Caenorhabditis elegans: one gene and its partner. The protein of the gene in region 1 interacts with the protein of each later gene in a pairwise test. Each region holds a gene or a part of one and is shown in the gene's direction. Other genes may lie near its edges. The genes, in order: zip-1 and nhr-170.

Evidence for each region.
Region 2: the proteins of zip-1 (region 1) and nhr-170 interact in a two-hybrid assay, tested with the Caenorhabditis elegans proteins (one large-scale study listed by BioGRID).

What each region holds. Positions count from the first base shown.
Region 1 is NC_003281.10:12,332,925-12,344,150, forward strand, and holds the start of zip-1 (BZIP domain-containing protein), read left to right. Parts: upstream 1-3,982; 5' UTR 3,983-3,999; coding exon 4,000-4,281; intron 4,282-4,327; coding exon 4,328-4,427; intron 4,428-4,741; exon of another isoform or gene 4,742-4,868; intron 4,869-7,942; coding exon 7,943-8,032; intron 8,033-8,090; coding exon 8,091-8,213; intron 8,214-8,897; coding exon 8,898-9,133; intron 9,134-10,444; coding exon 10,445-10,768; intron 10,769-11,226.
Region 2 is NC_003283.11:18,791,186-18,804,950, reverse strand, and holds nhr-170 (Nuclear Hormone Receptor family), read left to right. Parts: upstream 1-4,124; 5' UTR 4,125-4,131; coding exon 4,132-4,256; intron 4,257-4,306; coding exon 4,307-4,443; intron 4,444-5,098; coding exon 5,099-5,310; intron 5,311-6,982; coding exon 6,983-7,201; intron 7,202-7,463; coding exon 7,464-7,559; intron 7,560-7,607; coding exon 7,608-7,702; intron 7,703-8,466; coding exon 8,467-8,845; 3' UTR 8,846-8,890; downstream 8,891-13,765. Other genes in the region: sri-10 (G protein-coupled receptor), read left to right, coding at 356-552, 606-726, 774-867; C54E10.10 (Late nodulin), read left to right, coding at 1,591-1,623, 1,893-2,027; C54E10.11 (FIP (Fungus-Induced Protein) Related), read left to right, coding at 2,796-2,813, 3,360-3,518; nhr-231 (Nuclear receptor domain-containing protein), read right to left, coding at 10,212-10,590, 11,293-11,387, 11,437-11,532, 11,603-11,815, 12,794-12,948, 13,584-13,714, 13,763-13,765.

The sequences.
Region 1 (11,226 bases):
TTTTTCGGAATGGAAATTTTCTGGCAAACCAGCAAATTGCCGAATTTGTAAATTTCCGGCAAATCGACAAATTGCCGGAATTGAAATTTCCGGCAAATCGATAAATTGCCGGAATTGAAAATTTCCGGCAAATCGATAGATTGCCGGAATTGAAAATTTCCGGCAAATCGATAGATTGCCGGAATTGAAAATTTCCGGCAAATCGATAAATTGCCGGAATTAAAAATTTCCAGCAAACCGGCAAACTGGCAATTCGCCGATTTGCCAAATTTACCGAACTTTTAGTGCTGGCGCGTTTCCTCAGTACAAAATCGACACTCAATTATTTACAAAAAAAAAAATTTTGCTGATAAAAAGGGAGTATAAATATCACCTTAGGCAAGTATCAAATCCAGTCGGCTTCTTGCCTGATTCCTGCGTAATTTGGTCAGTCGGGATTTTGTATGAATATTCTTCTAATAGGTAAACGTAACCGAATATTGTTTTAAAAAAGGCCAAAAAAAAACTCCTTTCCTTTTAAAAACTCTCATTTTGTCGAATTAGTTTGTGATTCCGTGTTCCCCGATTTCGAGAGTTTATGGAAGCTAAAAGGTTAAAAGTCGTTTCGAGACGCAAAAATCTAGAAATATGATTTAATTTTGAAAATTTTAAATTCTAAAGTTATAAAAATAATTTATTCCCTGCGTTTTTCGATATTTTAGTTCACTTTTTGTACGAAAAGTTTCGCATTTCTGCTTCTCTGAGGTAAAAAAAGTTAAGTCAGTAAGTGCGCTCCATCGACAAAAATGGTTTTTTAACTGAAAAATGTGTTTTTTCTCCTTTAAAATTGAATTTTTTACAGGAAAATCAAATTTTGGATACTTCAAAAGGAAAAAAATAGAAAAAAAACGGAACGAATCCAATGTAAAGTGAGTTTTTAGCTCAAAATTATGATTTAAAATGCAATTTTGCAACAAAAAAGAAAAATGAATTTAAATTCTTGTTTTTGAACAAAAAATCGATTTCCATGGAAAATTTAAATTTTTAGTTTTTTTTGTAATCGTGACGTTTCTGTGCTCCAATCGGGCCAATTTCCTCAGCACGGGTCTCTTTTTTTTCTGTAAAATTTCGTTGATAAGAGCCCAAGTACACCGCAAGATTTTATTTGTGTCGTTTCGAAAAATGACTCACTATTATTTATTTGTTCTGCTCGCCGCTGCACGTAGTTTTTTTTTTTTTTTGAAAAAAAACTCGAATCGGAAATGGCAATCAGGCCACAAAAATCACGCATTTTTTCTAGAAAAAGTGCCGAAAAATTTGATTTTTAGAGAAAATTTGGAATTTTTCGTAATTTTTTCCAGCACATTTTGAAAAATTCCCATCATTTTGAGGAAAAAACTCTCAAAATTGCAGATTTAACCGAAATTTTATGAAAAATTCCAAAAAACAGTGCAGAAAGTTTCAAATAATTGAACATTTTTCGAATTCTTCTGAATATCACAAAAAAACGAAATTTTTAAATTTAGCTAAATTCCCTCCAAAATTAAAACTGCGACCAATCAGCGATTTGCTCCGCCCACTTTTCAACCAATCAGGTGGGATGGGCGGAGTTTGAAGATGATGATTGTTCATGGGGGTGGGCGGCAAACGATTTTTTCCGGCAAATTCCCGGCAAATCGACAAATTGCCGGAATCGAAATTTCCGGCAGATCAGTAAATTGTCTGATTTGAAATTTCCGGCAAATCGACTGCAAATTGCCGTAATTAAAAATTTCCGGCAAATAGGCAAATTGCAGGAATGGAAAATTTCGGCAAATCGACAAATTTTCGAATTTGAAATTTCCAGCAAAACGACATTGCCTGTATTGAAATTTCCGGCAAGTCGACATATTGCCGGAATAGAAACTTCCGGCAAATCGACAAATTGCCGGAATTAAAGTTTCCGGCAAATCGACATATTGTCGGATTTGAAATTTCCGGCAAATCGACAAATTGCCGGAATTGAAATTTCCGGCAAATTGTCGGATTTTGAATTTCCGGCAAATCGACGACAAATTGTCGGTATTGAAAATTTCCGGCAAATCGACAAATTGCCGGAATTGAAATTTCCGGCAAATCGACAAATAGCCGGAATTGAAATTTCCGACAAATCGGCAAATTGTCGGATTTGAAATTTCTTTCGGCAAAAACCGGCAAATTGTCGGATTTTGAATTTCCGGCAAGTCGCCATATTGCCGGAATAGAAACTTCCGGCAAATCGACAAATTGCCGGAATTAAAGTTTCCGGCAAATCGACAAATTGTCGGAATTGAAATTCCGGCAAATCGACGACAAATTGCCGGATTTGAAATTTCCGGCAAATCGACAAATTGCTGGAATTTGAATTTCCGGCAAAAACGGACAATTTGCCGAATTTGCCGAAAAAAAATTTGGCGAACCGTCCACCCCTGATTCGGTCATTTAAAGGCGCACACTGGTTTCAAAACAAATATTGTCGCGTCGAGACCCTTTTCGCTAAAATTAGATCTTGTTAGCTTCGAAGATACACTACTTGTCTCAACAAATTTACTTTCTTCAAACTGATCTACAAGGCCAAACTACGATCACTTTTTGTGTCGATCTTTCCTTCCGATCACATCATAGGACTACAGACAGCACTCTCTCCATTTCCCACACTATTTCTTGTCTGAGGAAATGCGGACAGCGTAAACAGAAAATTTCGTGTTTCTTTCTCTCTCGCTCTCTTCGTTATCAGCACTCTCTTCTCTGCTTCACTCTGGCGCCCTCTCCCACCCCATCGCCTAAAATTTTAAAGTGAGGAAGACCCCATTCGCTTCATTTCTGCCTTCGATTTCTGTAGTTTTTACTATTTTTGGAAGTCTAATTTGTTGGAAAAAAGTTGATTTCAATTAATAAATAGTACTTAACGTGAGTATTTCAAAATAGCCATGCAATGGAAGGAAAATCAGGAATTAAGCAAATGAATTGCACAGTTATATATAGTTATTAAAATTTTGCAAAAATAGATGTAAAATCTCCAAATTCCCACTTTTTTGTGCACAATTTGGAGGCTTAAGCTACGTGTTAACTTAGACAAGTTTTAGGCAGGTAGGCATCTAAAATTAGTAGCGAAATTGAAGGTTTCTGCTAAATTTGGCCTGTTTGAACAGTTTTTCATTTTTGATTGGTTCAAAAAATTGCCTGGGATTTTCTTGTTACGAACTATATTACCGATCCAGACAGAGAGAGAGAGCGTGTGTAGTCAATTGAAGAGACACAGACATCTCGGGACCCAAAGGGCGGTGCGCGGGGGAAGAGCCGATTTGTGTCGATTTACGGAGCGTTACTCTTAAAGGAGGACTAACGGTTCGAACAATTTTGAACGTATAGACCCAAAATGGACTCAAATGAACGAATTTCGTAATGAAACTTCTCAAAAAATTTTCAAAAATTTTTTATGGCGGTTCAAAATTTTGAAAAAATTGCACTGATTTTAGCTAAAATATCGAATTTTGCCCATTTTTCCGGGGTCGCAAAAATCAGTTCAGAACTCTGCGTCTAAATTTCCGCGATTCTCGTAGATCAAACCGATATGGGGCACTCTGACACCACGTGCACACTGTATTTATGTATTTATGACGGTTCAAATTTTAGCCAAATTTAGCTGAAATCTTCAATGTTGCCTCTAGGTACATTAGGCATCTAATTTTAAATGCCTACAGGCCTAAAATTTGCCTAACAGTTAACACGAGATAGGAACGCAAAATTGGAGGTTTTAGTTAGGTTTAGCTTTATTTTTTTGAAGTGTTACTCTTCCGTAAATCGACACAAATTGACTCTTTCCCGGGTCCCCAGATGCCTGTGTCTCTTCAACTGACTACACTCTTTCTGGATCGGTAATAGCTTAGCCTTTGTAGCATTCTCTGAAGTCCGATCCGATGACTCGTTCCGTTGTTTTTTTCCTGCAAATTTCCCAGTTGAAAATTCAATGCACACTTTTCAGAAAAGAAACTATCAAAAATGAACAATCAAAATAACAATTTCGTCGATTTCTCGGAAGATGATGATATGATGGATGCGGACTTTTTGGTAACTAGCCTTGAAAATGCGCCGCCTCATCCAATAACCGATTATTCGCAGGGAGTCGTCATACCGGATGACCTGATGAACGCTTCTCTTGAGTTTCAACGAACGGAGCCTTTTTCATTCATACCAGCCGAGGAGGATTTGGCTCCGATGGAGATTCTTCCGAATAATCAAGGGGATGTTGAAATGACGGCGGTGGATAAGAATCCGGATAAGGTATATTAAATAAGAGTTAGGCCCATGAATGCTTACCGGTTTCTAGGTATTGTTCGAACTTCGCGTCGAGACCCAAATTGAGCCAACTCTCAACTATATAAACGCGGAGAATGAGGCAGTTGAATGGGATATAAAGAGTTATTATGGTTAGTTGAATAACGGGTGTATAAATATAACGGATGTATAGTATTAATATATATATATATACAGTGCGTGCAACTTCTATAGCGCCCCCTATTTTTTTCGATTTTCAGTACTTTCCAAAATTTTTTTCGAAAAACGGTAAATGCCATTCGATTTTAAATGTCGAAAAACCCCCTTGTCGTAAATTGTCGTAAAAAACCCCTTGTCAAAAAATATGCGCTATAGAAGTTGCACGGTCGTTTTTAAGACTTTTTGACCTATAGTCCTCGCAGTGTTTGATATTTTTCGATAAAAATTTACGACAAGGGGTTTTTTGACATTTAAAATCAAATGGCATTCACCGTTTTTCGAGAAAAAAAAATTGGAAAGTACTGAAACTCGAAAATAATTGGAAGCGCGATAGAAGTTGTTCGCACTGTATATATATATATATATATATATATATATATATATATATATATATATATATATATATATATATATATATATATATATATATATACCAGCCGTGGCTTCTGGAGCTGACTTCTGGAGCTGAAAACCAATTTTTCTGAAACTACCGTAATCATACAGTACTCCTACCGTGCCACCATTGTACCACTACAGTACCCCAACTGCAGACTACAAAGACTACATAGACTACAAACTATGGACAAACGGAATAAGCGCTTTATATATAGTAAATGATAGTATTATATACTATAGTATTAATATATACATATATCATATATTATAGTATATATATATATATATATATATATATATATATATATAGTAATATATTATAGTATTAATATAGTATTAAAAAGTATGATATAAAAATCACCCGAAAATGGTGATAGGAGGAGTATAAGGGATGATTATCTCGAAAAATCATATATTTCTCTTGTCGGAAATAAATGTTAGCAACAGCAACATAAACATGATTCATACTTCCTTCGGAATTGCTAACACTTAAATTTTTTTCCCTGATCAATGACATTTATTACGATAAGCAGCATATGTGATCAATTAGCTGGTCAGCTATATAATTTATCATTAGGAATAATTGAAATTGAAAAACTTTAGAGCATTAATACTTTAGAGCATCACCGAAAAATCAGTTTTCAGTAATTTTTTTCCTAGTAAATTCGTAAAAATTTATTCCATTTTAAAGGCACATGATGTTTTTTCTGAGTGGGTCTCGTCACGATCTCTGTGCATGTGCAACATTTTTGGATATTAAAAGTTCGAAAGTGCACATATATAAAGCCAGGATTTATATGTATATGCGTGCCAGGCGTGGGCGGCAATAGGCAAATTGCCGGTTTGCCAATTTGCCGAAAATCGTGAATTCCGGTGATTTGCCGATTTGCCGAAAATTTTCAATATCGGCAATTTGCCAATTTGCCGGAAATTTTCAATTCCGGCAATTGCCGATTTCCCGGAAATTTTTAATTTCGGCAATTTTCCGATTTGCCAGAAATTTTAAATTTAGGCAATTTGCCGGTTTACCAATTTGCCGGAAATTTTAAATTCTTGCAAATTGCCGATTTTCCGGAAATTTTTAATCTCGGCAAATTGCCGATTAGCCCGAAATTCACAATTCCGGTGATTTTCCGATTTGCCGAAAATTTTCAATTTCGGCAATTTTCCAAATTTCCGAAATTTTTCAATTCCGTCAATTTTCCGATTTCCCAATTTGCAGGAAATTTTCAACTCCGGCAATTTTGCCGATTTGCCTGAAATTTCCAATTCCGGCAATTTTCCGATTTGTCGGACATTTTCAATTCCGGCAATTTTCCATTTTGCCGGAAATTCTCAATTCCGGTGATTTGCCCATTTGCCGGATATTTTAAATTACTGCGATTTTGCCGATTTGCCTGAAATTTCCAATTCCGGCAATTTTCCGATTTGTCGGACATTTTCAATTCCGGCAATTTTCCATTTTGCCGGAAATTCTCAATTCCGGTGATTTGCCCATTTGCCGGATATTTTAAATTACTGCGATTTTGCCGATTTGCCGGAAATTTTCAATTCCATCAATTTGCCGATTTGCCGGAAATTTTCAATTCCGGCAATTTTTCGATTTCCCAATTTGCCGGAAATTTTCAATTCCGGTGATTTTGCCGATTTGCCGGAAATTTTCAATTACTGCGATTTTGCCGATTTGCCGGAAATTTTCAATTCCATCAATTTGCCGATTTGCCGGAAATTTTCAATTCCGGCAATTTTTCGATTTCCCAATTTGCCCGAAATTTTCAATTCCTGTGATTTTCCGATTTGCCGGAAATTTTCAATTCCGGCAATTTTTCGATTTCCCAATTTGCCCGAAATTTTCAATTCCTGTGATTTTCCGATTTGCCGGAAATTTTCAATTCCGGTAGTTTGTCGATTTTTCGGAAATTTTCAATTCCATCAATTTACCGATTTGCCGGAAATTTTCAATTCCATCGATTTTCCGATTTTTCGGAAATTTTCAATTCCATCAATTTACCGATTTGCCGGAAATTTTCAATTCCATCGATTTTCCGATTTGCCGGAAATTTTCAATTCCGGTAATTTGTCGATTTTTCGGAAATTTTCAATTCCATCGATTTCCCAATTTGCCCGAAATTTTCAATTCCTGCAATTTGCCGGTTTCTCAATTTGCCCGAAATTTTCAATTCCGGCGAAATTGCCGATTTGCCGGAAAAAATCGTTCTCCCCCACCCTGTGCACCTTAGAATTATAAATATTACAATTTTCTACATATGACATCATACATCATATGAGCGAATCTTTAAAATTTGCCCGCCCGTGCTGAGATCGTGGCGAGACCCACTTAGAAAGCACCGTGCGCCTTTAAAGTAGAGTGGCGAATTAAAAAATGTTTTATTTACGAATTTATGATAGTTGAATTGGCAATTATTTTAAAGGAATTTAAATAATAGGAAATAATTGCTGATCGATTTTTGGAATTTACAGTTTTTACCGTTGAAAATTGAAAAAAATATATTTTCTTCCTCATATTTTTTTGCAATTTTAATTGTAATAAATCAGGTTTCATTCCTAATTAAACCAACTAATTTCACATTATTCCTCATAATAAATCAATCATTTCTGATTTTTTGACCCGTCGCTAATTGATGCCGAAATAGGCGAAAATAGGCGTGGTATTGGGATACTACAGGCGGACATATATATATATATATAAATTGATAAGAGAAATTGGCGGTTTTATAGACTAATAAAGTGGTGTTCTTTTTTGCTCATTCTTAATTCGTTGGTTCATTTTTAACTTAAAAAATTGCTGATAATTAGCGGAAAAAATGAATGTCTACATTTTTGTTCCTTTCCGGATACGGGAGACTGTTATTAAAACGGAAATTGGTTAGTCATCATGGTGCCAGGCTGTCGTCCCATCACAGTTTGATCTACAAAAAATGCGGGAAATTTTTGCCCAGGAAAATGTGACGTCAGTTGAAAAGTCTGCCGCATTTTTTGTAGATCAACGTAGATCAAACCGTGTTTCATCCGAATTCTAATTTTTTTGCAGATTTCGATAATCCACAACGCCCAGCACAAGCTGATGAAGCCGCCACATATCAGGAAAATGGCTACGGATTTGTTGATTTTCAGCCATTCGGTAAGGCTTAAAGCTTAAAGGCTTAAAGGCTTGAAGGCTTAATTTCCAATATTTTCAGCCCAGCAGCAGCAGCCTGCTTACAATGGGAATGAGCCGGAATTCTTGATCCAAAGAATGCAAATTACCGATGAGACGTATGCAAATGCTCATTTCCATCAGAATGAGTATGCGATTGAAGAAAGTGAGAAAATTTCTGGCAAATCGGCAAATTGACGAAATTGAAAATTTCCGGCAAACCGGCAAGTTGCCGGAATTGAAAAATTCTGGCAAATCGGCAAATTGACGAAATTAAATAATTTTCCCGTTGCCTACCCGCCTGCCTACAGGCATTGCATTAAAAAGGAAAAAAAACTAATTTTTTGCGTGTTGGTTTTCTTGGAAGATTTGAATTTCCGCCAAAATTTTTTTGCCAAAAAATTTGAATTTCCCGCCAAAAAAAAATTTTCAAAAACAAAAAAAAATTGAAAATTTCTGGCAAATCGGCAATTTGCCGGAATTAAAAATTTCCGGCAAATCAGCAAATTGGCGGAACTGAAAAATTCAAGCAAATTGTCAAATTCGCGGAACTAAACATTTCCGGCAAATCGGCAAATTGGCGGAATTGGAAATTTCCGCCAAACCGGCAAATTGCCGGAATTGAACATTTCTGGCAAACCGGAAATTTGCCGGAATTGGAAACTTCTGGCAAACCGGCAAATTGCCGGAATTGAACATTTCCGGCAAATCGGCAATTTGCCGGAATTGAAATTTTTGACAGATCGGCACTATTGCCGGAATTGAAAATTTCCGACAAATCGGCACTATTGCCGGAAAAAAATGTGAATTTTTTCAAAATTTTTTTAAATCCCAATTTTTTTCTTTTCAGAGCCCTCTCTTTTCTCTCCGTCTTCCACTCCATCCTACTGCTGCACAAGCGGTCCAATAAGCCCAGCATATACTCCAATTGGCAATAATGCAAATGCTTGTGCTCCAACGAGATCCCGCCGTACCTCCACAGCCAGCAACAAATCTGGTGGAAAAATCGGAAAAGTGGCGAAGCTCGGCGAGAAATCGAGCGGCGAGAAGAGAACTCGCATGACAAAAGCCGAAATGAGCCGATTGGTGAGCTTTTGAAGTGAAATTTTGCGGCGATTTTACATATGAATTTCCGTAAATTTTGCAAAAAGTAGCCTTGCCGCACATAAAAAGAGGCGGAGCCTAATTTTGCAAGTTTGCGGCACGGTTTTCCTCTTTTTGTTGAAGTTTTTCGTCCGAAAAAGTCAATTTTGTCAAAAAAGGAAAATCGAATTTTTATTCAAAACAACCAACAATAAAGGATGAAAAACTGTGCGGCAGGGTTGCGAAATTAGGCTCCGCCTATTTTTGTGTGCGGCGCCACGGCTTTCAATTTTTTTTTCATTGTTTTTTCGCGATTTTTCAAAATTTAAGTGTTTTTTCACTAACAATAAATTCAATTTTCCATGAATTTTGCAAAAAGCAGCGTCGCCGCACAGAAAAAGAGGCGGAGCCTAATTTTGTAAGCCTGCAACACGGTTTTCCTTTTTTGTTGAGTTTTTTCTTTCGAAAAAGACAAATAAAATCGAATTTTTATTCAAGAAAAACCACCAAAAAATGGAGGTAAAACCGTGCGACAGGGTTGCGAAATTAGGCTCCGCCTCTTTTTCTGTGCGGCGACGTTGCTTTTTTCCAAATTTTTGCAATTTTTTCTCGCTATTTTTCAGAATTTAAGTGCTTTTTCACTAACAATAAGTTCGATTTTCCGTGAATTTTGCAAAAAGGACGCAGAAAAATGGGCGGAGCCTAATTTCGCATCCCTGCCGCACGGTTTTTTGTTGATTTTTTCACATTTTCACACTTTCGTTAGAACAAAAAGAATAAAACCATGAAAATCAAAATTATATTGAAAATTTTTTTTAACCGTGCCGCAGGCTTACAAAATTAGGCTCCGCCTCTTTTTCTGTGCGGCGACGCTGATTTTTGCAAAACTTTTTTATTTTTATTTGGAAAAGTAGACGATGAAAAATGGATAAACTAAGAATTTTTGAATTTTTTCCATGAATTTTGCAAAAAAGAACATCGTCGCACAGAAAAAGAGGCGGAGCCTAATTTTGCAAGCCTGCGGCACGGTTTTTTGTTGATTTTTCGCTTAAAAAACTTTTGATTATGCCTGATTTATTCCCTTTTTCGAATTAAAATGTTAAACAGAAAAAATTTTAAAAATCAACAAAAAAAACCCGTGCCGCAGGGTTGCAAAATTAGGCTCCGCCTCTTTTTCTGTGCGGCGACGGTACTTTCTGCAAATTTTCAAAAAACTTTTGTTTCTCGGAAAATAATAACGCTGGAAAATTGATGAAACGACGAATTTTCAAATTTTTTTGGAATTAATAATGGTAATAAATTAAATAATTTCAGACAGAAAAGGAGAAGCTGGAGCGCAAAAAAGAGCAAAATCGTGCAAATGCCAAGAATTGCGTAAAAAATCGCAACAATAGCAAGGAAGAGCTCAAGCAGACGCTGGAAATGCTCAGAGAAAAAGTTCAAGAAGCCAAGCGTCAGAATGAGATGCAAGAGAATGGCCTATTGGCGGCCTACGAGACTAATATTTTCGCAGTACAGGGGAATAACTTCCCATATGGAAGCCTGGAGCTGTTTTACGATCAATTGCAAGGATCGAAAGCCGAGGCTGTCGAGCAAGTTCAATATGACAATAATGGAGAAGTGGTGCAGTTGGAAGAGGTAAAACATCGGCCACGGCCATGACCGCGCGGGCGCGCGGAGCGGTTGTGAAATTGATAAAATTGGAAAAAATTGGAAAAAAATGAACAAAAAAATAAATTTTTTTCTAAAAAAATCGAAAAAAAAATTTCTTAAAAAATCCAATTTTTATCAATTTTTGAAAAAATAAAAAATTAAAAAATACTTTATTTTTTATTTTTCATTTTTCACGATTTCTGATTTCTGGCTTTCCTCATGAATTGAAATGAAAGAGTTTTTTGCCGAACTAGGCCAGGCCATATCTGGGGTAGATTTACGGCGCGTTGCGTGTCGCGTCGTGGCTCGATTGTAAAACTAAATGTATTTGTCCGTGTGGAGTCCGGCAGGCGATTATCAATGGAGCGCGAAAAAAAATCCAATGAGGAAGGCCAGAAAGGGCCCGTGTGGGGATAGATGAAATCGGAAAACAATGGTTTGAA
Region 2 (13,765 bases), on another chromosome or scaffold:
GCAAATCTAGTTTCTAACTCGATTCTCATAATTTAAAAGTTGAAAATTCAAAAATCTCGCGTAGAAAAACCTATCTACCCCACCGGGGGCTCGAACCTGAGACCTATTCCCCCCAGTCAAGCTTCTTACCCACTGCGCTATGCTGTGCATTCTTTTGCGGCGAAGGGGGCACTCGTGGCGCAGAGGATAAGAGGCTTGTCTATGGAGCAAAAGGTCACGGGTTCGAGTCCCTGTTGAGGCAGATAGATTTTTTTATGCGGGAATTTCAAAATTTTAGGTTTTAAAACCTTGAAAATTTGTTGAAAGAGCATTTATAGGTGTCACAATCAATTGAGGTATGAATAAATTTTTCCAGCTACTGTTTATACCTTGGCGTACACACTATGATGATTCTCCAACGTTTACGTGCTCACATGTCCCCCCAAACCTACCAAATGCACAGAACAGCCCTCATAAGCCTGACCATGCAAATGGTGATCCCCGGAATGCTTCTAACAACCCCTTTGTACATGATTCTAGTAGTAATTATGACAAATTCATTGGCTTTTGAAGGTAATAGAAAAGGTTTTCAGAAAAAAAGTTTTTATCGAAAAAAAAATTTTCAGAGCTGGCCTCCACCTTCTCCTTCCTAATGTCCTCCCACTCAATGTGTCAGTGTTTTGTAATGGTTATGAGCAATGGGGTATACCGACGGGTACTTAAGGAGAAGGTTTTCAGATTGTTAAGGTTCTTTTTTGAGAAAAAAAATTCTCAAAAAAAAAAAAAAAATTCAGACTTCCAGTTCCAAATGAGAGTCAGGTGGGGAGCCTCGTTGAGCCAAGCATGAGAATTTCGAATAATTTTGTGGGAACTGTACTAAATGCTTGAAAAAGTAAGTTTTATTATAAGTTTTTGAATTTCCGCCAATTTTGAAAATTTTTTCCGAATGGCGCAGTTGGATTTTCGCCGACCTCTAATCACAAGGCCGGGGTTCGAGTCCGCACCGCGGCACAATTTTTTTTTCCATTTTTAAAAATTGTTTTAGAGTATTTTTGAGACGTAGAATTCAAATTTTTAAGTTTGGGAACTCAGAAAGTTTTAGAAAATGTCGAAAATTTGGTTGCAAAAATTTTCTTTTTTTAGTTTCAAAGTGGATTTTTGTAACTAAAATGTGAAAATTATGCTTTAAGCAGCTTTTCTATCACGTGCTCCGAATTTTGACCAATTTTGAAATTTTTGTCCGAATGGCGCAGTGAGATTTTCGCCGACTTTCAGTCATAAGACCGGGGTTCGAGTCCGCACCCGGGTCGGAATATTTTTATTGTGTTTCTTGGACGGTTTTGAGTAATTCTGATGTGTAGAATCTGAATTTTCAATTTTTTGCAACGCTAGATTTTCGGAAATCATCGAAAAAATCAATTTTAGCTCAAAAAAAAATTAAAAAAAAAACAGTTTCTGAGTCACGGCCCCAAACGCCCACTAAGAAATGCAAATTTCCATTTAAAATTTCCATCGTCCTCACATCAAACATTAAATCAATAAAATTCTTTGAGAACACGATTGAAATCTATAAAAGTTACCCCCAAAATATTAAGACCGACATATTTTAATATGGCGCTCGAAAATATGAAAATGTTCATTTTGGTAAGTGTTTCTAGAGTTTAAAAGTTGAATTATCATCAATTTTGAGCTTAAAACCTTAAAAAACCTAAGAAAGCTCAATTTTCAAAAATTTTGTCCGAATGGCTCAGTGCGATTTTCGGCGACTACCAATCACAAGACCGGGGTTCGAGCCCCGCTGTGGCAGATTTTTTTATTTACGTTTTCTATAGTAATTAAAGCTTGTAAAACTTGAATTTTCAATTTTTTTTTAGCATAAAAACTTATAGGAACGCCAAAAATTAATGTTTCAGATCGCTGCTCTCTTCCTATTCGGAGCCCTTTGCCAAGACAATGCCCCGGCATTTAATGCAGCTTCTCAAATCAGATTTACGTGTATTCCACAGTGTCATCCTACTCACATATGCGTCTTGGGAGTATGTATCTGAATTTTGAATAAATGTTGTTATATCAAGACCGTTTTGTTTTTACTGGAAATTGTTTTTTTTCAGACGCATAGTCGAATTGATTCAGCATTAGTTTAAAAAAAGAGTGCAACATACCCCTGAAATCACCAAAATCTAGTTTCCAACTCGATTCTCATAATTTAAAAGTGGAAAATTCAAAAATCTCGACTAGAAAAACCTATGTGCCCCATCGGGGGTTCAACCCTGGCTCCTATTTCCCCATAGTCAAGCCTCTTCCCGACTGCGCAGGTTCGGGTCCCCGTTGGGGGTATTTAGGTTTTTATAGGCGAGATTTTCGATTTTTTGGGTCTTAAAACTTGAAAGCTGAGTTGAAACCCTTTTAAATTCGCACATTTTTGAAAATTTTGTCCGGCTGGCGCAGTGGGATTTTCGCCAACTTCCAATCACGAGACCGGGGTTCGAGTCCGCACGCTGGTCGATATTTTTTTCTAGTGTTGCTTGAACGGATTTTGGGTATTTTTGATGCGTCTGAATCTGAACTTTAAAGTTTTTTTTGCATCATCTTCTTGGAAAACTTCGAAAAAATCAATTGCCAGTTCAAAAAATCAAAACCATTTGTGAGTCACTTTCCCAAACGCCCACTGAGAAATGTAAATTTTTCTTTGAAATTCCCATCGGCCTCGAATCAAACACCGAAATAATGGAAATTCCTTGAGAATACGATTAAAATCTATAAAAACTAGCAGGAAAACATTAAGAACCTCATATTTTAGTGTGGCGCTCGAAAATATGAAAATTCTCGTTTTGGTAAGTGTTTCTAGAGTTGAAAACTAAATTACTTTTGAATTAGTCTAAATTTTAAAAAAAATCGGACAATATCTTGAAATTTTAAAATTTATGCCAGAATGGCTCAGTGGGATTTTTGCTGACTACCAATCACAAGACCGGGGTTCGGGTCCCCGCTTTGGTAAAATTTTTTGTTATTATGTTTTCAGGATGTTTGAAAAGTATAAACTTCAAATTTTGAGGTTTCAGAGAAAAAACATCTGGAAAATACCAAAAATTTACTTACTCAACAAAAAATTTTCAAATTTGAAATTTTCAAATTAGAATCAAAATTAGTGTTACACTCACATTTACATATTTCCCGCAAATTTTTGAAAATTTTGTCCAAATGGCTCAGTGTGATTTTCGGCGACTGACAATCACAAGACCGGGGTTCGAGTCCCCGCTGTGGCAAAAAATTTTTTTCAAGTGTTTTCAATCATATTTAGACGGATAAAATCGAATTTTTCAGTTTAAGAATATACAAAAACTTCTAGGAATGTCAAAAATTAAGCTTTGAAATTTCAGATCGCTGTTCTCTTCCCATTCGGAGTTCTTTGTCAAGACGAAGTCCAGGGATTCGGCGTAGCCCGCAATCGTACTCGCAGATGGTGTGACCCACCGTGCAGAACTTTTCACAGATGCTACTTGGGAGTATGTCGTTATGTTCCAAACATTCCATGGTGAACAGCCTAAGCTCTGAATATTGAATAAATATTATCATACCGAAATTGTGTTGTTTCAACAAAACATCTAAACTTTAGAGAACTGTGTACATGCAATTCAAGCTTAGTTTGGTCGATTTGCTTTGAAATTCTCAAAAATTGAGAAAAGCCCCCCTAAAATCTCCAAAATCAATGTTCCAGCTTGATTTTCATAAGTTAAAAATTGAAAATTCGATTTTCTCGCATAGAAAAACCTATGTACTCTGTCGGGGGTTTTTCTATGCGAGAATTTCGATTTTTTAGGTTTCAAATCTTGAAAACTGTGTTAGAACCCGGTTTTTCGAGAAAATTTTGGTTTATTTAACTAAAAATTATATTTCCTATGACAATAATGTATGCATGTTTCCTGGTGACTAATACCTGCTGATGTTCCTACTCTGCGTCTCGTGCTTTTTTCCCTAATATTTACTTTTCCCCTGTCTCTATTTCACCTCTTATCAAATTTCTCACTTTTCATCTATGAAATATATTACGATTTTCACATTTTCCATAGATTTTTACATTAAAAATTGAGAAATTTTGAGTTTTTTTTCCTCAAAAATCGATATTTTGTCGCCAAAATTCAAATTTTCAGAATGGAATTTCCATCATCCTCGTCAGAAATGACATATTTCACTGTAAACTGTGAAATTTGTCAAAAAACCAGTCACGGTCTGCATTTTGGGCTTGAAACTTGTCGTGCGTGTGCTGCATTTTTCAGGTAAGCTCTAGCGGAATTTCGGAGCATCGTACCGGAGAATTTTTTTCCAGGCGCACCGTAGTTTTGAACCGAAAATACAAATGTATCCAGAAAACTGGAAAATGTGAAATTGGAGCCGGTGGCGAGGAGAAGCTGTGCAAATTTTGCAGATTTAAAAAATGCATCGACTTGGGTATGACTACTGAAAGTGAGGGTTTTTTTTCTCAAATTTTCGTTGAAAATGCAAACTGTGAAAGCAAAATAATTTAAAAAATTGTATTCTCCGCAAAATTTCCGAAATTTTGACCCCCATATTGACTATATTCAGGAAATTTATGTTTTCGGGCCGAAATTGGCCGATTTTAGGCCGAAATAAAATAGAGTCTACTCACAATTGCAAAATTTCATACAGTTCCTAAAATTTAGCGCCTAAATTTATAAGTTTTTTGAATTCGGGCCGTTTCAGGCCGAAATAGGCCGAATTTAGGCTTAAACTGAAAATAATACTATAAATTTCGGATTGTTCACAATTTCTAAAATTTTAAAACCCAACCACAATTTTTTAAACTATAGCTAAAAATAAGGTTGTAAAGGTTTAACTCGACAAAAATTTTTGCATTCAAAGAAAAACCTCATAACATGTCTCACACTGATCTAAGTTCGGCCTATCTCGGCTTATTTCGGCCCGAATCGACTCAGAAACTATACAACGAGTACTGGCGTCAAAACTTTGATTTATTTCAATTCTCAGAAGAGATTGCTTATTAAAGTTTGCAATGTTTTGTTTTAGGCTAAAATTTGGCCTATTTCGGCCTATTTCGGGCTAAAACTTTTTTTTTTCAGTTTTTCAATTTTTTTTTCAGATGTACGCACAGATTTCAAAGACGATTCTGAAGACACCAGTTCTCAATCCCCTCAATCCACGTCATCAATGGAAGTGACGTCATCACAGCAAATTGTCGCCAAAGTGCGGAATCGGGTGGAATATTACATAGTTAACCCGAAAACTCAAGCACCTGCAATGCTTATTGATGTCAATGCAATTATTAAAGAAAGTAGAGCAATTTTGGAGACGGTAGGTAATTTTCAAAAATTTGTTTCAAAAAAGTTTGAAAAAATTCTGAAAAAGTCAATTTTCCGGTCTAAAACTGGCTTAAAAATAATCTTGTGAAATTTAATCAATACTTATTTTTGAATTTGAAACCCATATTGCTAAATTGAATTGAAAAATTGTTTTCAGGACAGATTTCGGCCTGAAACGGCTTATTTTGGTCCGAAAAGCCGGCCCAAAACGGCCTGAAAGCACAAACTGTTAAAAACAACCGATTTGTATGTCACTTTTGTACAAAATTCACAAAATGCATTTTTTGTGTGTTAAATTTTGAAAATTCGGAGATCAAGCCTGAAATGAGGCCCAGAACGGCCCGAAAACTGAAGTTTTAGAAATATACTCAAAATGGGTTTTAAAATTTTAGAAATTGTGAACAATCCGAAATTTATAGTATTATTTTTCGAAAATTACTATTATTTTCAGTATAAGCCTAAATTCGGCCTATTTCGGCCTGAAACGGCCCGAATTCAAAAAACTCATAAATTTAGGCGGTGTTAAGTTTCCAAATTTTAAGAACTGTATGAAATTTTGCAATTGTGAGTAGACTCTATTTTATTTCGGCCTAAAATCGGCCTATTTCGGCCCGAAAACATAAATTTCCGGAATATAGTCAATATGGGGGTCAAAATTTCGGAAATTTTGCGGAGAATACAAATTTTTAAATTATTTTAAATTATTTCGAAACCCATATTGCTAAATTGTTAAAAAAATTGTTTCCAGGGCAGATTTCGGCCTGAAACGGCTTATTTTGGTCCGAAAAGCCGGCCCAAAACGGCCTGAAAGCACAAACTGTTAAAAACAACCGATTTGTATGTCACTTTTGTACAAAATTCACAAAATGCATTTTTTGTGTGTTAAATTTTGAAAATTCGGAGATCAAGCCTGAAATGAGGCCCAGAACGGCCCGAAAACTGAAGTTTTAGAAATATACTCAAAATGGGTTTTAAAATTTTAGAAATTGTGAACAATCCGAAATTTATAGTATTATTTTTCGAAAATTACTATTATTTTCAGTATAAGCCTAAATTCGGCCTATTTCGGCCTGAAACGGCCCGAATTCAAAAAACTCATAAATTTAGGCGGTGTTAAGTTTCCAAATTTTAGGAACTGTATGAAATTTTGCAATTGTGAGTAGACTCTATTTTATTTCGGCCTAAAATCGGCCTATTTCGGCCCGAAAACATAAATTTCCGGAATATAGTCAATATGGGGGTCAAAATTTCGGAAATTTTGCGGAGAATACAAATTTTTAAATTATTTTAAATTATTTCGAAACCCATATTGCTAAATTGTTAAAAAAATTGTTTCCAGGGCAGATTTCGGCCTGAAACGGCTTATTTTGGTCCGAAAAGCCGGCCCAAAACGGCCTGAAAGCACAAACTGTTAAAAACAACCGATTTGTATGTCACTTTTGTACAAAATTCACAAAATGCATTTTTTGTGTGTTAAATTTTGAAAATTCGGAGATCAAGCCTGAAATGAGGCCCAGAACGGCCCGAAAACTGAAGTTTTAGAAATATACTCAATATGGGTGTCAAAATTTTGCAATTTTCACAAAGAATTCAATTTTTTTGGTTTAGACTTCGGAAATTCTCAATCTTTACATTTTTCAGCGAATTTCAATTTTTTTTTGCAGCACTATTTTCCCGACGAAGACCTTATTGCTCATCTGAACCCCCTTCAGCGGATGTCCCACTCATTGCACAAAATCCGTGAGAAACAGTCCTGGAGCCCGGAATTTTTTGAGCACGTAAAATTTTACAAAATGTTCCAGTGGTGGGAGGTACAGATGCGGGATACTGCCACGTGGCTTATGCATTCGGACGAATTTCGGAGGCTACCGAGTCATGAGAAGGTTTTTTTCGAATTAGGCTTAGGCCTAGGCCTAGACTCAAGCTTAGGCCTAGACTCAGGCTTAGGCTTAGGCCTAGACTCGGGGTTAGGTTTAGGCTTAAAACATTTTTCTAGTTTTTTTTGGTAGTTTGTCTGAAAATTTAAAAAAAAAATTCTGAAAATTTTTTTTTTCATGAAAAGGTAGTGTTGATTAGGCTTAGGCTTAGGCTTAGGCTTGGGCTTAGATTTAAGCTTAGCCTTAAAAAAAGTCTCTCAATTTCCAGATCGCAATTTTCAAAATAGTGTGGGCGGTGTGGCGGAGATTCGAGAGGTACACAATGTCTGCTCAAATGTTCGGTCAAAAATGCTATGACGAAAAAGTAACTGAAACGGCCTGAAATAGTCTGAAAATATTAAAAATTTCTCAGATTCACGTTCACAATCACCAATTTGCCGCGAGATTTGGCAATTATCATATCGATTATTCAAACGTGTCGGATCACGGCTTTGAGCGGTTTAACAAGTGAGTTTCCGGACTTTGAAGTTAAAAATTTGAAATCTACATAAAATTCGCAAAATTGTGACCCCCATATTGACTATATTCTGAAAATTTTAGTTTTCAGGCCGAAATAGGCCCATTTTAGGCCTGGAAGCCAAAATTGATGTAAATTAAGAGATATTATGAAAATTTGACATGTATATCTACTGCTTTCCAAATATCGTCTTTCTAAGCCAAAGTAGGCCATTTTGGGCCACTTTGGGTCACTTTCAGGCTTGAAAACTGATTTTTCAGAATATAGTCAACATGGGTGCCAAATTTTTGGCATTTTTTAAAAAATAGTTGACTGTAATATTAAGTTTCCAAAAAAATGAGTTTTCAGGCCAAAATAGTCCGTTTTAAGTCAAAATCTAAGCCTGAAAAGTGATTTTTCAGAATTCAGTCAATTTAAGAGTCAAAATTTTGGAAATTTTATTGCAATGCAGATTGTAATATAAAGGTTCCAAAAAATTGACGTTTCAGGCTTTACTTTCAGGCCTGAAAACAGATTTTTCGGAATATAGTCAATATGGGTGTCAAAATTTCGGAAATTTTGTGTAGATCTCGAATTTTTACCTTGAAATCACTTAAAATGCTCTAAAAATATGCAAAACACCAATTTTGTCATACTCTTCAAAATTTTTAGTTTTCAGCTTTATTTTCAGCCCAAAAGACCCATTATTGGTGTCAAAATGCTCCAAATTTTACGTAGAATCCAAATTTCTTACTGAAAAATTCAATTTTTTCAGTGTATTCGGTGGAAAAATGATCAGATATTTTGACATAATCGTGAAGCCATACCTGGAACTTAATCTCTCTGAAACTGAAGTCACCTATATTTTATGTCAAATCGTCTGGAATTATGCAGGAAGACGGCTTCAAGGACAAACCCAAGCGGCTGGAGAACGATTTTTAGAGGAAATTTCCAATAATTTGCATAGTTACTATGAAGAAGCTGCTAGAAAAGAGGAAAATCCGAAAAACTATGCGTCAAGGCTTACGAAAATGATGCAAATTGTCAATGAAATGCTGAGTATTCAGTTGAAACGAGAAAATACTATGGATATAGCAATGTTGTTTGATATGTTTAATATTGTGTTCACTGAGCCCGAATTTTTCAGGGTTTGAGTGGAAAAATAACGAAAATAAATCGTTTGATATTTTGTGTGAAATTGTGAAGTTATTTTAGAATTTTGTAACACACATAAGTGGACTTGAAACTAAAAAATTCAAATTTGGCGTGAAATTTCCAAAATTTTGACACCCATATTGACTATGATCTGAAAATTTTAGTGTTTAAGCCAAACTGGGCCGTTTTCAGGCCAAGTTTAGGCCTGATTGTCAAACTTCTTGAAAATACCCAGTATAGGTTTAAAATTTTGAGGAGTGCTATGCACATTTCTATTTTTATGCTGATCTTCGAAAAATCCACTTTTCAGTCCGAAATGGGCCGTTGTCAGGCCAATTCTAGGCCTGATATTCACTTTTCCTGAAAATAGCCAATATATGTTTAAAATTTTGAGGAGTGCTATGCACCTTTCTATTTTTTATGCTAATCTTCCGAAAATTCACTTTTCAGTCCAAAATAGGCCGTTTTCAGGCCAATTCTAGGCCTGATTGTTACGTTTTTAGAATATAGCTAACATGGGCGTCGCATTTTGGGAAATGTTATGTACACATCTATTTTGCTACTGATGACCTAAAAATTTACTTCTGGGCCGAAACGGGCCGTTCTAGGGCAAAAACAGGCCTGAATACTAACTTTTCAGAAAGTAGCCAATATGGATCATAATTTGTTAGAATTTCTGTGTAACGTTCTAAATTCTCCACATCAGTCTGATTTTTCAGTGTATTCGGCCCGAAAACGATCCAATTCTTCGACGACAATAGTCTACCTGAACCGAAATAGGCCGTTTCAAGCCAAATTCTAGGCCCGAAATCAATATTTTCACAACGTTGTGTCAAATTGGTAACTTTCTTCCGGACTTCCGAAAAAGGTAACTTTCAGGCCGAAATAGGCCGCTTCCAGGCCAATTCTAGGCCTGAAAGTAATTTTTCAGAATGTAGTCAATATGGGTGTCGTATTTTGGAAATTTAATTTCAATGTTGACTGTAATTTTAAGTTTCCGAAAAATTGACTTTTCAAGCTGAAGTAAGCCGTTTTAGGCCAATACTAGGCCTGAAAATCAATTTTCCAGAAAATAGTCTATGAAAGTTTGTGAGTTTTTTTTTGAAATATTTTTCCGGAACATTTTCTGAATTTCTGCAATTTTCTGAAATTTTCAAAAAAAAATTCCGAATCTCTGAAATTTATATGAAATTTTTCTTAAAATTTGTGAATTTTCTTCAAAGTTTTTGAAAGTTTTTCCAGGTTTTCAGAGCTGAAACTTGCTAGAAATGTCTGAAAATTTCTGGAATTTTCCTGAAATTTTTTGTAAATGCTGTTTCCATTAGAAATTAAAGATTTCATTGCTTTTTTACTATAAAATTCCCCTCAAACCCTGAAAAACTCGGGCTCGGTAAACGAAATATTGAACATATCAAACAAAAGCGCCAAGTCCATGTCAGTTTCCTGTTTCAGCTGCATTTTCAACATTTCATTGACAATTTGCATCATTTTCGTAAGCCTTGACGCATAGTTTTTCGGATTTTCCTCTTTTCTAGCAGCTTCTTCATAGTAACTATGCAAATTATTGGAAATTTCCTCTAAAAATCGTTCTCCAGCCGCTTGGGTTTGTCCTTGAAGCCGTCTTCCTGCATAATTCCAGACGATTTGACATAAAATATAGGTGACTTCAGTTTCAGAGAGATTAAGTTCCAGGTATGGCTTCACGATTATGTCAAAATATCTGATCATTTTTCCACCGAATACACTGAAAAAATTGAATTTTTCAGTAAGAAATTTGGATTCTACGTAAAATTTGGAGCATTTTGACACCAATAATGGGTCTTTTGGGCTGAAAATAAAGCTGAAAACTAAAAATTTTGAAGAGTATGACAAAATTGGTGTTTTGCATATTTTTAGAGCATTTTGAGTGATTTCAAGGTAAAAATTCGAGATCTACACAAAATTTCCGAAATTTTGACACCCATATTGACTATATTCCGAAAAATCTGTTTTCAGGCCTGAAAGTGGCCTAAAGCCATAATTCCAGACGATTTGACATAAAATATAGGTGACTTCAGTTTCAGAGAGATTAAGTTCCAGGTATGGCTTCACGATTATGTCAAAGTATCGGATCATTTTTCCACCGAATACACTGAAAATGTTGAATTTGTAGTAGGAAATATGGATTCTAAGTAAAATTTGGAAGCTTTTGATACCCATTTTGGTTTTTTTAGGCCGAAAATGGAGAAAAAGACTAAAAAAATTTAGGTGGGGATTTACTATTAGGCTCTATTACTATTACTATTTTGCCGTACTTTTGAATCTTTGAAAAAAAAACAGCTTTTGTTTAAATTTTGAAATTTTTTAAAATAACCTTCCGTACAAGATAGCATAAAAATAGTCAATATGGGTGTCAAAATTTTGGAAATTTCATGGCAAATTCAATATTCTTAGTATCAGGGCTTACTTCTCAAAAGTGTGCGGACCCTGGCTCCATACATGTGAATAATCAACGCAATAGCTCCCAAATCTTGCTGCAAACTTATGGGAATGCAGAAGAATCTGGAATAAATTTTTTTAGAATTTTGATTTAGGTAAGACTCCTGCCTACTTTTTCATCATAACATTTTTGTCCGAAAACTTCAGCAGACATTGTGTACCTCTCGAATCTCCGCCAAACTGCCCACACTATTTTGAAAATTGCAAGCTGGAAATTGAGTAACTTTTTTAAGGCTAAGCCTAAATCTAAGCCCAAGCCTAAGCCTAATCAACACTACCTTTTCATGAATTGGGAGCCCTCTAAACTCCCGGCAGTTCATAAGCCACGTGGCCGTGTCTTCCAGCTGCTCAGCCCACCATTGGAACTTTCTGCCAAACTTGATAGTGGTAAAAAATTCTGGGGACCCTGACTGTTTCGATCGGATTTTGTGAAGGGACTCTACCATCATTTGGAGTGGATTTAAATCTGGAGCCACGTAGAAATTGTGGTTCTGAAAAAAATTGAAAAAAACTGAAAACTGTCAAGCAGAAAATCAAAAATTTTTTTTTTAATTTCCGAAAAATCCTTAATACAATCCTAGAAAATTTCAGCAAAATCTAGAATTTTTTTTAAAAATTCTAAAACTTCTGAAAAATCACAGGAATGTTTTTAAAAAATCTAGAAATTTTTAAAAAAATTCTAAAAATTCATTAAAAATTCTAGAAATTCACAAAAACTTATAGAAATTCAGAAACAATTCTAGAAATTCAGAAACAATTCTAGAAATTCAGAAAAATTCTAGAAATTCAGAAAAAAATTATAGAAAATCAGAAAAAATTTTAGAAGTTCAAGAAAAATGCCAGAAATTTTTTTAAAAATTCTAGAAATTCAGGGAAAACTTTAGAAATTCAGGAAAAATCCCAGAAGTTTTTTGAAAAATTCTAGAAATTCGGAAAACATTCTAGAAGCACAGGACAAATTCTAGAAGTTCAGGAAAAATTCTAGAAATTTAGAAAAAAATTCTGGAACTTTGGGAAAAATTCTAGAAATTCGGAAAAAATTCTAAAAGCTCAGGAAAAATTCTAGAAGTTTAGGAAAAATTCTAGAAATTCAGAAATTTTTTTTAGAAAATCAGGAAAATTCTAGAAAATCAGAAAAAAATTCTAGAAATTCGGAAAAAATTCTAGAAGCTCAGGAAAAATTCCAGAAGTTCAGGAAAAATTCTAGAAATTCAGAAAAAAATTCTAGAAGCTCAGGAAAAATTCTTAGAGTTCAAGAAAAATTCTAGAAATTCAGACATTTTTTTAGAAATTCAGGAAAATTCTAGAAAATCAGAAAAAATTCTAGAAATTCGGAAAAAATTCTAGAAGCTCAGGAAAAATTCCAGAAGTTCAGGAAAAATTCTAGAAATTCAGAAAAAAATTCTAGAAATTCAGGTGAAATTCAGGAAATTCAGGGAAAATTCAAAATCTTCTCAAAATGAACATACATCTTCCATAATTGCTTTGCTTTTACGTAAAACTGCATTTACATCAACCAAAAGGCTTGAACCACGTGATTTTGAGCTAATCGTATACAAAATCTGAGCTTCTGGTAAATGTGATGACGCCGGTTCTTGTTCAGTAATATCTTCAGCACGGACATCTAAAATTACGATACTATTTTGAAAATTACTTTTTTCGGGCCAAAATTCGGCCGGTTTTGGCTTATTTTAAGAAATATTGTGCTTTTTTTGATCTTTCTTAATGAAAATCAGATTCTCTATAAAATTCGCTAAAATTTGACACCCATATTCACTATATTTCGAAATTTTAATTTTTTGGCCTAACTCGGCCTATTTTGGCCCGAAAATTCAAATTTTTGGAATATAGTCAATATGGGTGTTAAAAATTTAGAAATTTTGTGTATATTTCGAATTTGTTGTTAGAATTGTTCCAAGTATTTTTCAAAAATGCCAAATTGGGCAACTGATGAGACTTTTTTAAAAAAATTTTCAGTTTAAGCCTAAGTTTGGCCTATTTCTGCCTGAAACGGCCCGAATTCAAAAGTTTATAAATTTAAGCAGTATTAGGTTTTTAGAATTTTAGGGTTCTGTATAGAATTTCAAAAAATGACAATCTCGGTCTAAAATCGACCTATTTCGGCCCGAAAAACCAAAATTTCAGGAATATAGTCAATATGGGTGTCAAAATTTCGGAAATTTTGCGAATAACTCGAATTTTTTCGCCATTTAGCTTTAAGAGTTCTTATTTTTAATTAAAAAAATAGAAAAAACTCACTATCAGTAGTCATTCCTAAGTCTATACACTTTTTATATCTACAAAATTTGCAAGTAGCCTTCTCCGCTCCAACATCACATTTTCCAGATTTCTGAGCACATTTGTATTTCCGATTCAAAACTACTGTACGTCTGCAAAAAATTTCCAGTACGATGCTCCGAAATTACGCTAGAACTCACCGG